Linked DNA regions of Drosophila melanogaster. Changing the gene in region 1 together with any one later gene gives a genetic interaction. Each region holds a gene or a part of one and is shown on either strand. Other genes may lie near its edges. The genes, in order: bol and twe.

Evidence for each region.
Region 2: of bol (region 1) and twe, changing one suppresses a phenotype caused by changing the other (phenotypic suppression), as found in Drosophila melanogaster (one study listed by BioGRID).

What each region holds. Positions count from the first base shown.
Region 1 is NT_037436.4:9,127,145-9,132,214, forward strand, and holds the start of bol (boule), read right to left. Parts: upstream 3,212-5,070; 5' UTR 2,753-3,211; intron 1-2,752. UniProt on the Drosophila melanogaster protein: RNA-binding protein that plays a central role in spermatogenesis. Required for meiotic entry and germline differentiation, at the transition between G2 and M phases of meiosis I.
Region 2 is NT_033779.5:16,258,742-16,264,002, reverse strand, and holds twe (twine), read left to right. Parts: upstream 1-2,125; 5' UTR 2,126-2,412; intron 2,413-2,497; coding exon 2,498-3,778; 3' UTR 3,779-4,589; downstream 4,590-5,261. Other genes in the region: CG4935 (uncharacterized protein), read right to left, coding at 617-741, 823-1,353, 1,410-1,482, 1,546-1,664, 1,725-1,803; EndoGI (endonuclease G inhibitor), read right to left, coding at 4,741-5,261. UniProt on the Drosophila melanogaster protein: Required during meiosis. Regulates the transition from the extended G2 phase to the onset of the first meiotic division.

The DNA.
Region 1 (5,070 bases):
GCATCCGTCCAGAGAGCGAGAAAAATGGCAAGAGAGAGCGAGAGAGAGAGAGACGCGTGAGCGGCGCAGAGAAGCGAGAAAATGTGTGCCGTGTTGGGAACATGCAAATGTGGGGCGACTGCCCACGCAACACCCACTTTTCCGCCCACTAACCCATCGCCAACAACAATGTTGCCAAGAATACGGAAATATTTTTGAGTGGATGCTCTCTGCGAAAAATATATGCACTACAAGAAACTTTGACAAATTATCATGCTTATGTATAATATTTAAAAGTGCCACGAAAACTAAAATTAGCATAGGTATTTTACACTATGAAAACAGTACAGTAATTTTGTTTTAAGTTTAAATCTTCAGAAAACTATAACTTATAGAATCTATACAATTTGTGTATCAGATTGTGTTTGTGTCTGGAGAAAATCAAATTAAATATCGCCTGCTTAATGTTATCAATTTAATGAGCCAAGTTGGGAATTCCCTCCTGGGGGTTGGTCAAATCGGCCATCAAAGTTGGCATGCCCCAAGCTGCGTGAGAAGGGCCGGCGGAAAATCAAAGCCACTTTTTGCGCTCTTAAGTGCAAAAATTAAACACAATCAACCCCCCAAGGCGAATCTCTTACGCTCGCCCCCCAAATTTCTCTCCGCTTTCTCTCTCTCTCTCTCTCTCTGTCGAATTTCTCGTCCGATATTTTCCCATATCATTGGCTCTCATCACTGCTCTTCGTGTGCATTATTTATTGCTCTTATACAGCCCGAATGTTTGACGATGACGAAGGTGCTCCACTGTCAGTGTCACCACCCCCGCCCACTCTCTGTAATTCAGATTCCCCCTAGCTCTCTCGCTCTCTCCCTCTCGTTCGTCACCTTTCCCTTTCGCTCCCTTGGCTGGAGCCCAGTTAACTAGTAAACCAGCAACCTATAATGGAGCCTCTTCCGTGTTGTTATCCCTATCCCACGACGTCGCGTATTCCCCACAGAGAGAAAAATCATCGGCCATTAGTCATGAATTCGCAACGGTTATGATGTAATGATGAATTATCTGGGGAGTTGTTTTTGGATACGTATTTGCAGTGCTCTCTACCCTTGTCTAGAATAAATTTCCACCTATAAGTAGTTTTTAGAGATAGACATCTCATGAACGAAAGCTGTTTCCTTATCCATTTGATCTCTACTCATACAAAGAGATTCTTGAGATGCAAACATATGCAGTATGATATGATATGAACTCTTTCACTGATTTTTCTCAGTGCACTATCCCAATTCTATCCCTTTTTCGCATCCCGGAAAATGAGCACCAGCTGTCTGCCATTTGCCTTCAATTTTCCCCATTCATGTTTGTTTTGCTTTTCGCCTGACTGTATAATAAATAACTTTGAAATAAATCAAATCGGATCCTGGGCCAATGGACACATGTTAAATGGACCGAGAAATCTAAGCGGGGCATCATCACATTTTTTTATTGGATCAAAATCAACAAGAGCAGCGTCGGCGACCTTAAAACGCATTAGCAGCCGCTGTCGGCCAAGTCGTAATAATTTTATTAGCAAACATCAGAAATATAAAAATGCCGCTGCTCGGAGGCAAAAGAAAAAGAAATAAAAGCGGCTACAATTTCGAAAGGTGTTGGCTTTTTCAGAAGTTCAAATTCAAACGGCGTGTGAGTCGGTGGGCGGGGGGAGGGGCTGTGACAAGTGCAGGCGTGCTCAAGGTAAAAGCGCCGCCGCCGCAGTCGCCGTCGACGCTGACAGCGCTGTCGACTGCAACTCGGCCGAAATCCGAGTGCAAGATCAAGTGAAGCGAGTGGCCGAAAAACTAGAGAGAGGCAAAACTACGAAAGTCGGAGAGCGAGCCATTTATCATTTTACATCACAAAAGATAAGCTGGCGAATAGGAGATACTCAGCATATACATATATGTACATTCACATACATATGTACATACATGTGTAAGTTAAAAAGTAACTATCTTTGTATAAAAGAATCTAGCAATTAATAATAAATAAAAAAGCAGTTCTGCCTCTAGGAAAATTATATTAGGGCCTAAAAATCTCATGTATTGACCTTATATTATTATAATATTATTTGTTATGCTGACAAAACCACATATGTTTTGTATGTACTAATTATCAATATTTCGTGATATGATTAAACGGTTTTATTGTGTAGAATCTATACTAATAAGCTGTTCTACAATATTCCCTCACATAAGTACAGGGTATTTAAGTTGGTCGCGCGGGTGACAGACATTCTGTCTTTTTCCCACCTTTCGCCGCCCTCTCTTTCGCACACGTGCAGCGGCACTACATGTTGTTGTTTTGTTTTTTAGGCATTCTGGAGGCGATGCTGTTTAGGCCGCTTTTAGTCAAGTGGCCGTGCAGCGACGCCAACTGCGGCAGCGCAGCTGCGACTAGATGAAAAAGAACAAATTGACTAAGCACGAAACACGTTTTAGCCAGAGTTTTTAGCCAGACTAGCAGCTCGAATCGGAATCGGAATTGGAATCGGTGGGAGCGGGACGGCGTGTGACATACTGACCCAATTCCGGGTTTCGATTTTCTGGTTTTTCTCAAGAATACACGTTTTCCGCTGCATAAACACACACATAAGCGTACGCGGGAGCGAAAGAGGCAGAGCGGCCAAACGAGTTGCATGGCCAAGAATTTTCGCCTGGCATTTTTCATTTTCCCTGCGAGTGACATTCATCCTCCCCCCACCCAAAAGCAATCCCCTGTTCTGTCATCAGGAAAACTCACCGTTAGCTGCGTCCTCCTTGGAGATTTTTCTGATTGCGTCCAAACTACGTCGTTTCCACAGGCTGCCTTACGTTACGTCTTACGTGAGAGGGGACACAGTTTACAGTTACAGCCTTTGCGTATCATTAATATTCCTTGTGATGAACGTTTATCCCAGATACGATGCGTTTGTATATATGTATCTTAATATCCAGTATTCAATATCAATATCAATAACGTCGGTGATGAACAAGAACCAGAAGACCAAAAACGATGGGATGATGGGATGATGGGATTTAGCTTGATATTCTCTTGGTTTCTTTTGTAATTTAATTATTTGCTCTTCTTTCTTTTCCGATATTTAGTGGTGTTTACTTGTATATATTATTGTTGTGTGTTCCGATTTAAAACAATTTTACTTGAATATATATATATATAGCACTAGACAACTTACTTCCTACGAATCACAATTAGAAATGAGTGTAAGGCGACGACCGAAAGGAAAACTCCCGTCAAAATGAAAAACTACGCGCCGTCTACTTGGGCGGCCGAGAAAAACCAAAACACTGTGGCGACACACCACATGTGTTTTTCTCTTCCAAAAAACCCAAAATTCCAAGGATGGTGGGGGCGATTGCAAAGGAAAATTGAAGCCAGGAAAACTCTCTTCAATATTTACCGTTCACCGTTTAGCGATATAGCACAACAATTTTAGTTCTACAACTGCTCTCGTGTAATGATGAACTCCAATTAAGAACACAAGTCCGTTTTAAGTTGAAGGCAGCCGTCGGGCTGACATATATTTATTCAATTTCTTCTTTTGATTTTAGAGTAGGCAGAAATGGTTCTGTCAGCTCAACGTCTACAGAGTCTCTCCGATTTTACAGTTTTTTATATATTTTGACTTAGGCTAATCCGCGTAGCTGCGCTGCCGGGTACGCCAGCAGCGGAGCGGCGTTCTTATGTATATCTTATATATCTAGGCTTATCGGGAGAGCGAGATATGTATGTACGTATGTAATATGTATTTGGTCGGCGTGTGAATGCTGACCATGCACTTATACTTTTTGCCTTCGAGTGGGCAATGCACTTATACTTTGTGGCCTTCGAGTGGGTGATCATGTTACATCCGCCCTGGCCTAACTGCGTGCATAAACATAAACATAGCAACAAAGTGCTGCCATAAGTTAATATGCTATTTTATTTAATTGTTCTTAATATTGCATAGGCACATACTACATCTCCCTCCTTTTGAAAAATAACGTAACCTAGTGAAGTTATTTTGATTATTAAATGCAAATTATTTTATTTTTATTTTTATTTTGTTTGTGTTTTTGTTTGAACAACAATAGTTGATTTTATAATGCAAAGATAAAAATATACGTAGTGTATGGAAAATTTGTATAAATGATTAAGGAAAATATAAGTTTAAATTCAATCATGAATGAAATTTCTTTAATCTATCTTTATGAACTATTTGTTTTTTGTTTTTATTAGTAAGTAGCGTAATATTGTTATTATCTCCTATGCTTTCTATCTTATAGGGCCCCGTATATTTAAAGTCTAATTTATGACCTACCTCATTTCTTAGTAAAACTTTATCTCCTACTTCTAATTCTATGTCTTTTATTTTTAAGTCATAATTTTCTTTATTTTTTTCTTTGTGTGCTTCAAGAAGTTTTCTTGCTCGAGCATATGCTACCTCTAACCTATATTTACTCTCCTTAGCGTAATCATCTATGTTATATATTGGTTCTATGCTATGTAGTTTATTAAAATGTTTTGGTAAATTACTTGTTCTACCGAAAACTAATTCATATGGACAATAATTATGTACCATAGATTGGGTCGTGTTGAAGCAGTATACGAAATATTGAAGCCATACGTCCCAATCGGTTTTGTCCGTCGATATGTAGGATCGTATATACTCGTTTAAAGTTCTATGACTTCTTTCTACTACTCCAACTGTCTGGTGGTGATGAGCTGTTGATGTTATATTTTTTATTTTCAAATATTTACACAGGTCAGTAATTATTGAATTCTTATACTCTGTTCCCATGTCCGTTATGAACGTCTTCATTGGACCGTACTTTAGAATAAAAGATTCAAATATAGCTTTTGCGACTGTTTTTGCGCTTTTATTTGCTATTGGTATGGCAACTAAGTACTTGGTTAAATCACATATGAGAGTGACTGCGTACTCGTTACCATTTTCTGACTTGGGTAGTGGACCAATTGTGTCCACAACAACTCTATCGAAAGCATGTTCTGGTGTTTCAGTTATCGTCATTGGAGTCTTTGTGTGCTTTGTTGTTTTTGCTTTTTGGCATTTTTGACAT
Region 2 (5,261 bases), on another chromosome or scaffold:
TAGAGGTCAATGCTGCAGCTGTCTGCCTTCGCCAAGCTGCGTCTGCGCTGTGCAATTTCAGTTTCTTCTTGACTTTGTTCAACACGTCTCATAGCTGCCAGCTAGGACACCAAGTGTCCCTGCTCGGACGCCACTGTTGAGACCCGGATTTGAATTGAAGAAACTCTTCTTCGCTCAGCGCTGCCCCGCGGCTAGGCGTACCGCATTTTCCCACAAGGAGAGAGACTATGAGAATGATGAAGGATACAGCCAATGCATGCAAGGCAGCTACATTGTGTCAACCACGCCTGCTCGCCTGCTCGCCGCTCGTCCGCATTCGAAATATTTGATTAAGGAAACATTATGCAGGCCGTTCATAGTTAAAGGAAAAGAATCGTGAAGAATATATAAGCCAGATCATACGAAAACAAACACATATTACTACATACATTCATGCTCTATGAAAACAAAAAATTATGTCAAATAAATGGTTTTTCCTTTTTCCCTCAACAAAACAATCAATTTTTTATGTTTGCGGGTATTTTGATGAGGTGGGCTCCTGAAGGAGTCTTTATATTTTATAACTATATTATTTATATCACTAGCTTTTGGTAAAACTATACAGCATTATGAGTACCTATAATTGCTCCTCTTCGATTTGCAAATCTGTCGAGAAGACATACATGTCCCGTCGTCTGGCGAAAAGCATTTCCTGTCGCTTGGGATGAGTGGCTAAGGAGTGGACGACGCCGCCATTATCACCTGACGGATATATGACAAAGGAAACCCACATGTTAATATATGTATATAGCTAATAATCAAAGTTCAACTTCACTTGCTTACTTATGCGAATGCGCTGCAGTACTTTCCCATCGAGCAGGTCGTAAACAAAGGCGTCTCCATCACTGGAGCCCGTGACTATTTGGGCATCGTTTGACAGTATTCCGCACTCGATGTGGTAGTCATCGCCGCGATGTCCCCTGTACTCGGAGAGTAATCCGCCGGTCTCACAGTCCAGCAGACGAACCACACTATCCTGACAGCCGGCCACCAGACATTGCTCGTCGCGCGTCTGCGCCAGATATGTGATGGGTTCACCAATTTTGTCGCAGGTAAGTTCGCCCACCCGAATATCGTAGGTCCTCACACATCCGTCCAAGGAGGCGGCGTAGATGCGATTCTCGTTGGTTGCCACCGTGGTGATGCAGTCCCGGGCCTCCTTCATCACCTGAACGGGATCCAGGCGACGCGTTCGAATGTCCCAGCACATTACGGCATTATCTCGACCCCCGGAAATGGCTATCGAGGAGTCCTCGTTGAAGCAGACGCATCTAACACCTCCGGCATGGCTACGCAGGCGCCGTACTGGTGCTCCTGAAATAGGCGAGAGAAACATTAGCCATAATTGGTGCGCTGTGATTACAACTCACCCGTTGACACGTCCCAGTAGATAATGCTTTTATCCAAGCTGGCGGAAACGATATAGCTACTATCACAGCTTCCCTGCAATATGCCAAAGTGGAGTACTTAATAATAAGAATAATACTAAGTGAGAAAAAACTATACCGCCGCATCGGTGACTTCATCCGCATGACCACCATAAGTCTTAAGCAGTAATCCCGATGCCGGATTCCACAGCTTTATCTTCTTGTCAGATCCACAACTCAAGCAATAAGTGCCATCAACTAAAGATTAAGGATCAAGATGAGTTAATGCTTAAAAATCGGGCACTGAAAACCATTCACCATTATAGCGCACAGCTCGCACTGCACCTTGTTTGCAGTCAATTGTGGTTTTTACGTTAAAGTTCTCAAATTCCGGCATATTTGTATTAAAAACAATAACACAACTGCAGCACGAAAAATATAAACAAACGGACAGTGTGACCAGATGTAATAAATGTTAATATGTTTTTGTCAAATTTTCCACTGGAAAAATGATATGATTCATAATTATAATTGTGGAATGTTTTTATTTTATTACGCTCATTAACGATTATTCTATGTATCTTTTTCTTATAACTATTTAAAGTACAAATTTATTGATTGAAAATATATTGATTTCATCGCATATTATGGTGGTAGAACACGTTATCATTAAGATGGCTGCGCTTTTTAAATTCAATTTCATTGCTCTTTGTCAAATAAAGTTGAACCAGCCATGCAAATACCAACAAAAAAATATACAAGCAATTTAAATTCAAACTAGAGCGTCCTGTTTAAATACGGCGCAGTGGTGAGTTAGCAGGTGGTGGGTTTGCATCGGTAGAATGGGGAATTGATAAAGGCGCCAATAAAGTTGACCGCCAAAAGCGAAACAAACAAGTCGACAGAACAAGAAAATCGTCAAGGATTTGGCAATCGAAATCACTGCGCACGCTGGAACCCAAAATCTGAACTTCCCAATAGTTACGTATATCGCAAATAGATCAGGGTAAGAACAATTGCGAAAATCCAGCTGATTTTAGCAGCTTCCAGCTGATAAAAAAATCATTGTTTTTTTTCTTTTTAACGCGCAGATGGCGAGCAAGCGGCTAATGCTCGATGTGGAGGAAGAAGATGATGAAAGTGGAGCGTGTGGTCAGGAGAATTTCGATCCCCATGATGCCGATATGGAATACCAGGCCAAAAGGCGAAAATCAGCCGTGCAGGAGACTCCGCTGCAATGGATGCTGAAGCGGCATATTCCTGCCAGCACCACCGTTCTGTCGCCCATCACCGAATTGTCGCAGAATATGAATGGAGCCCGCCTGGATGGCACTCCCAAGTCCACCCAGAGAATCCCAGCCAACAGGACCCTGAATAACTTTAATAGCCTGTCCTCGCGAACACTCGGCAGTTTCAGTAGCTCCTGCTCGAGTTACGAGTCGGGCAACTCGCTGGATGATGAGTACATGGACATGTTCGAAATGGAATCAGCCGAGAATCACAATCTTGAGTTGCCCGATGACTTGGAAGTGCTCCTCAGCGGACAGCTGAAATCGGAAAGCAATTTAGAGGAGATGTCCAACAAAAAAGGCTCCCTGCGTCGCTGCCTTAGCATGTATCCCAGTGAACAGCCAGAGGAAGCGGTTCAAGAACCAGATCAGGAGACCAACATGCCCATGAAGAAGATGCAACGGAAAACTCTATCAATGAACGACGCCGAGATCATGAGAGCACTGGGAGATGAACCAGAGTTAATCGGAGATCTCAGCAAGCCATGTACCCTGCCCTGTTTGGCGACAGGCATTAGACATCGTGATCTAAAGACCATCTCCAGTGACACATTGGCCAGACTGATTCAGGGCGAGTTTGATGAACAATTGGGAAGCCAGGGCGGATACGAGATCATAGACTGCCGTTACCCATACGAGTTCCTTGGCGGACACATACGGGGAGCGAAGAATTTGTACACACGTGGGCAGATACAGGAGGCGTTTCCCACGCTGACCTCCAATCAGGAAAATCGACGCATCTACGTCTTCCACTGTGAGTTCTCCTCGGAACGGGGTCCCAAGCTATTGCGCTACCTGCGGAGCAACGACAGAAGTCAGCATACCCACAACTATCCGGCACTGGACTATCCTGAACTTTATATCCTGCACAATGGGTACAAGGAGTTCTTCGGTCTATACTCGCAGCTATGCCAGCCCAGCCAATATGTACCAATGCTGGCACCGGCGCACAATGATGAGTTTCGATATTTTCGGGCCAAGACCAAGTCCTGGCAATGTGGCGAGGGCGGAGACAGTGGAATCGGCGGTGGAGGCTCTCGCGGCCTCCGGAAATCACGTTCACGACTGCTCTACGCCGAGTGACCATTTCAGGCTATAGATACAATTCTCGAATCGATCCACCTGCCATAAGCTCACAGAGATCTCAATGAGAAACGATGGCTGCCCAATTTTACTCATAGAATTATTTTGTAATATTTAAGGACGCACATTTTAAGGTTCATTTCTTGTTGCGTTGTTCAAATGTTGTGAAAGCACTTTATATTTATTTAGTTCTTGATTTTGTATTATGTTCCACGTTGTGTGGACACAGAGCACCCAAATGGGAACCACCAAAGATGGGAAGAAGAACAGAAAATGGATATATGTTCTCTAGTCAGTGTATGTAATAGTTTCAAAATTAATTAAAGTTCATTTTTGTGTTCGGAATTTAAAAGTTAACTTAAGAAAGTATTTCATATTTTATTTTAGTATTTAAGCATAATAATCTAACCATTGGATTTAAGAACTTCAAAGGAAATTACGAAAATTGTCTATGTATGAATACAAACTATGCTGAAACTATTTATGTGGATTCCACCTACATCGGTCAACTTTTATTAAAAGTATCTAAAAACAATCATTTAATACACAATTTAAAAGTTTTAGGATGCATAATGCTTAATTAGAACAGGAGATGTAAGAATACTCATAAAATATTTCAAGAAAATTCGTGATACAAATTTTAAATCAAATGAAGAAAAATGTTCCTTAATTTATATGCTATTATAGTTTATATATATTACAAAATTTTAAATGCTTTAAGCTATTGAAGAAATATGAAGAGAACAAATAATTTGTTACTGATCGAGATAATAAAAAGGACCACTATTTTTGAGAACAGTTATAAAATACTTATCATTTTATTCATTTTTAAACAATTTCTAACATTTCGAAACATAATTCAGATATTGAAATGCTTTACTGTGTGTGCCTTCAGAGATTACGACCAGAATAGGTGTTTTAGTACATAAGGAAACAATCCTTCAGTCATGAAAGATGCACTACTAATCATCATTTACAGGTCCTTCAAAGGGAGCCTTGCAACCAGCCTTTTCGTAAAACTCGAATGGCAGCGGATCCTCGTTGTCGTAATAGTCGGAATCGCGGGCGCAACTGGGACCAAGTTCCATTTTCACCATCTTGTCGCGCCAAAAGTCGAGAAGCTCTTTGGTGAGAACCTCATCCCTCAGATTGAAAATCCAACTGTTGTAGTCGTCGGGCCCATAGAAACCAGCATCACCCTTGTACTCCTGCAGCAGCTCGGCGGCCTTGTTTTGATCCTCCGCTGAGGGTGTGCCATCGAAGAGCAGCTTCCAGATTATCTCCCTGGCGGCTGCCGCTATCTTCTTCACGCTGGCCTGGTGAACGCTGTCCGGAACGATGATTTTGGTCAGAACAAAGCGCTTCATTAGAGTTCGGTATTCCTCGAGCGGATTTTCCTTGGTCAGGGTGGCCTCAAATTCGCCAGACAGAGCGGCGGCATCATCGGCACTCAGTTCACCCGGAGTTGTAGGCGTCGCTGGCC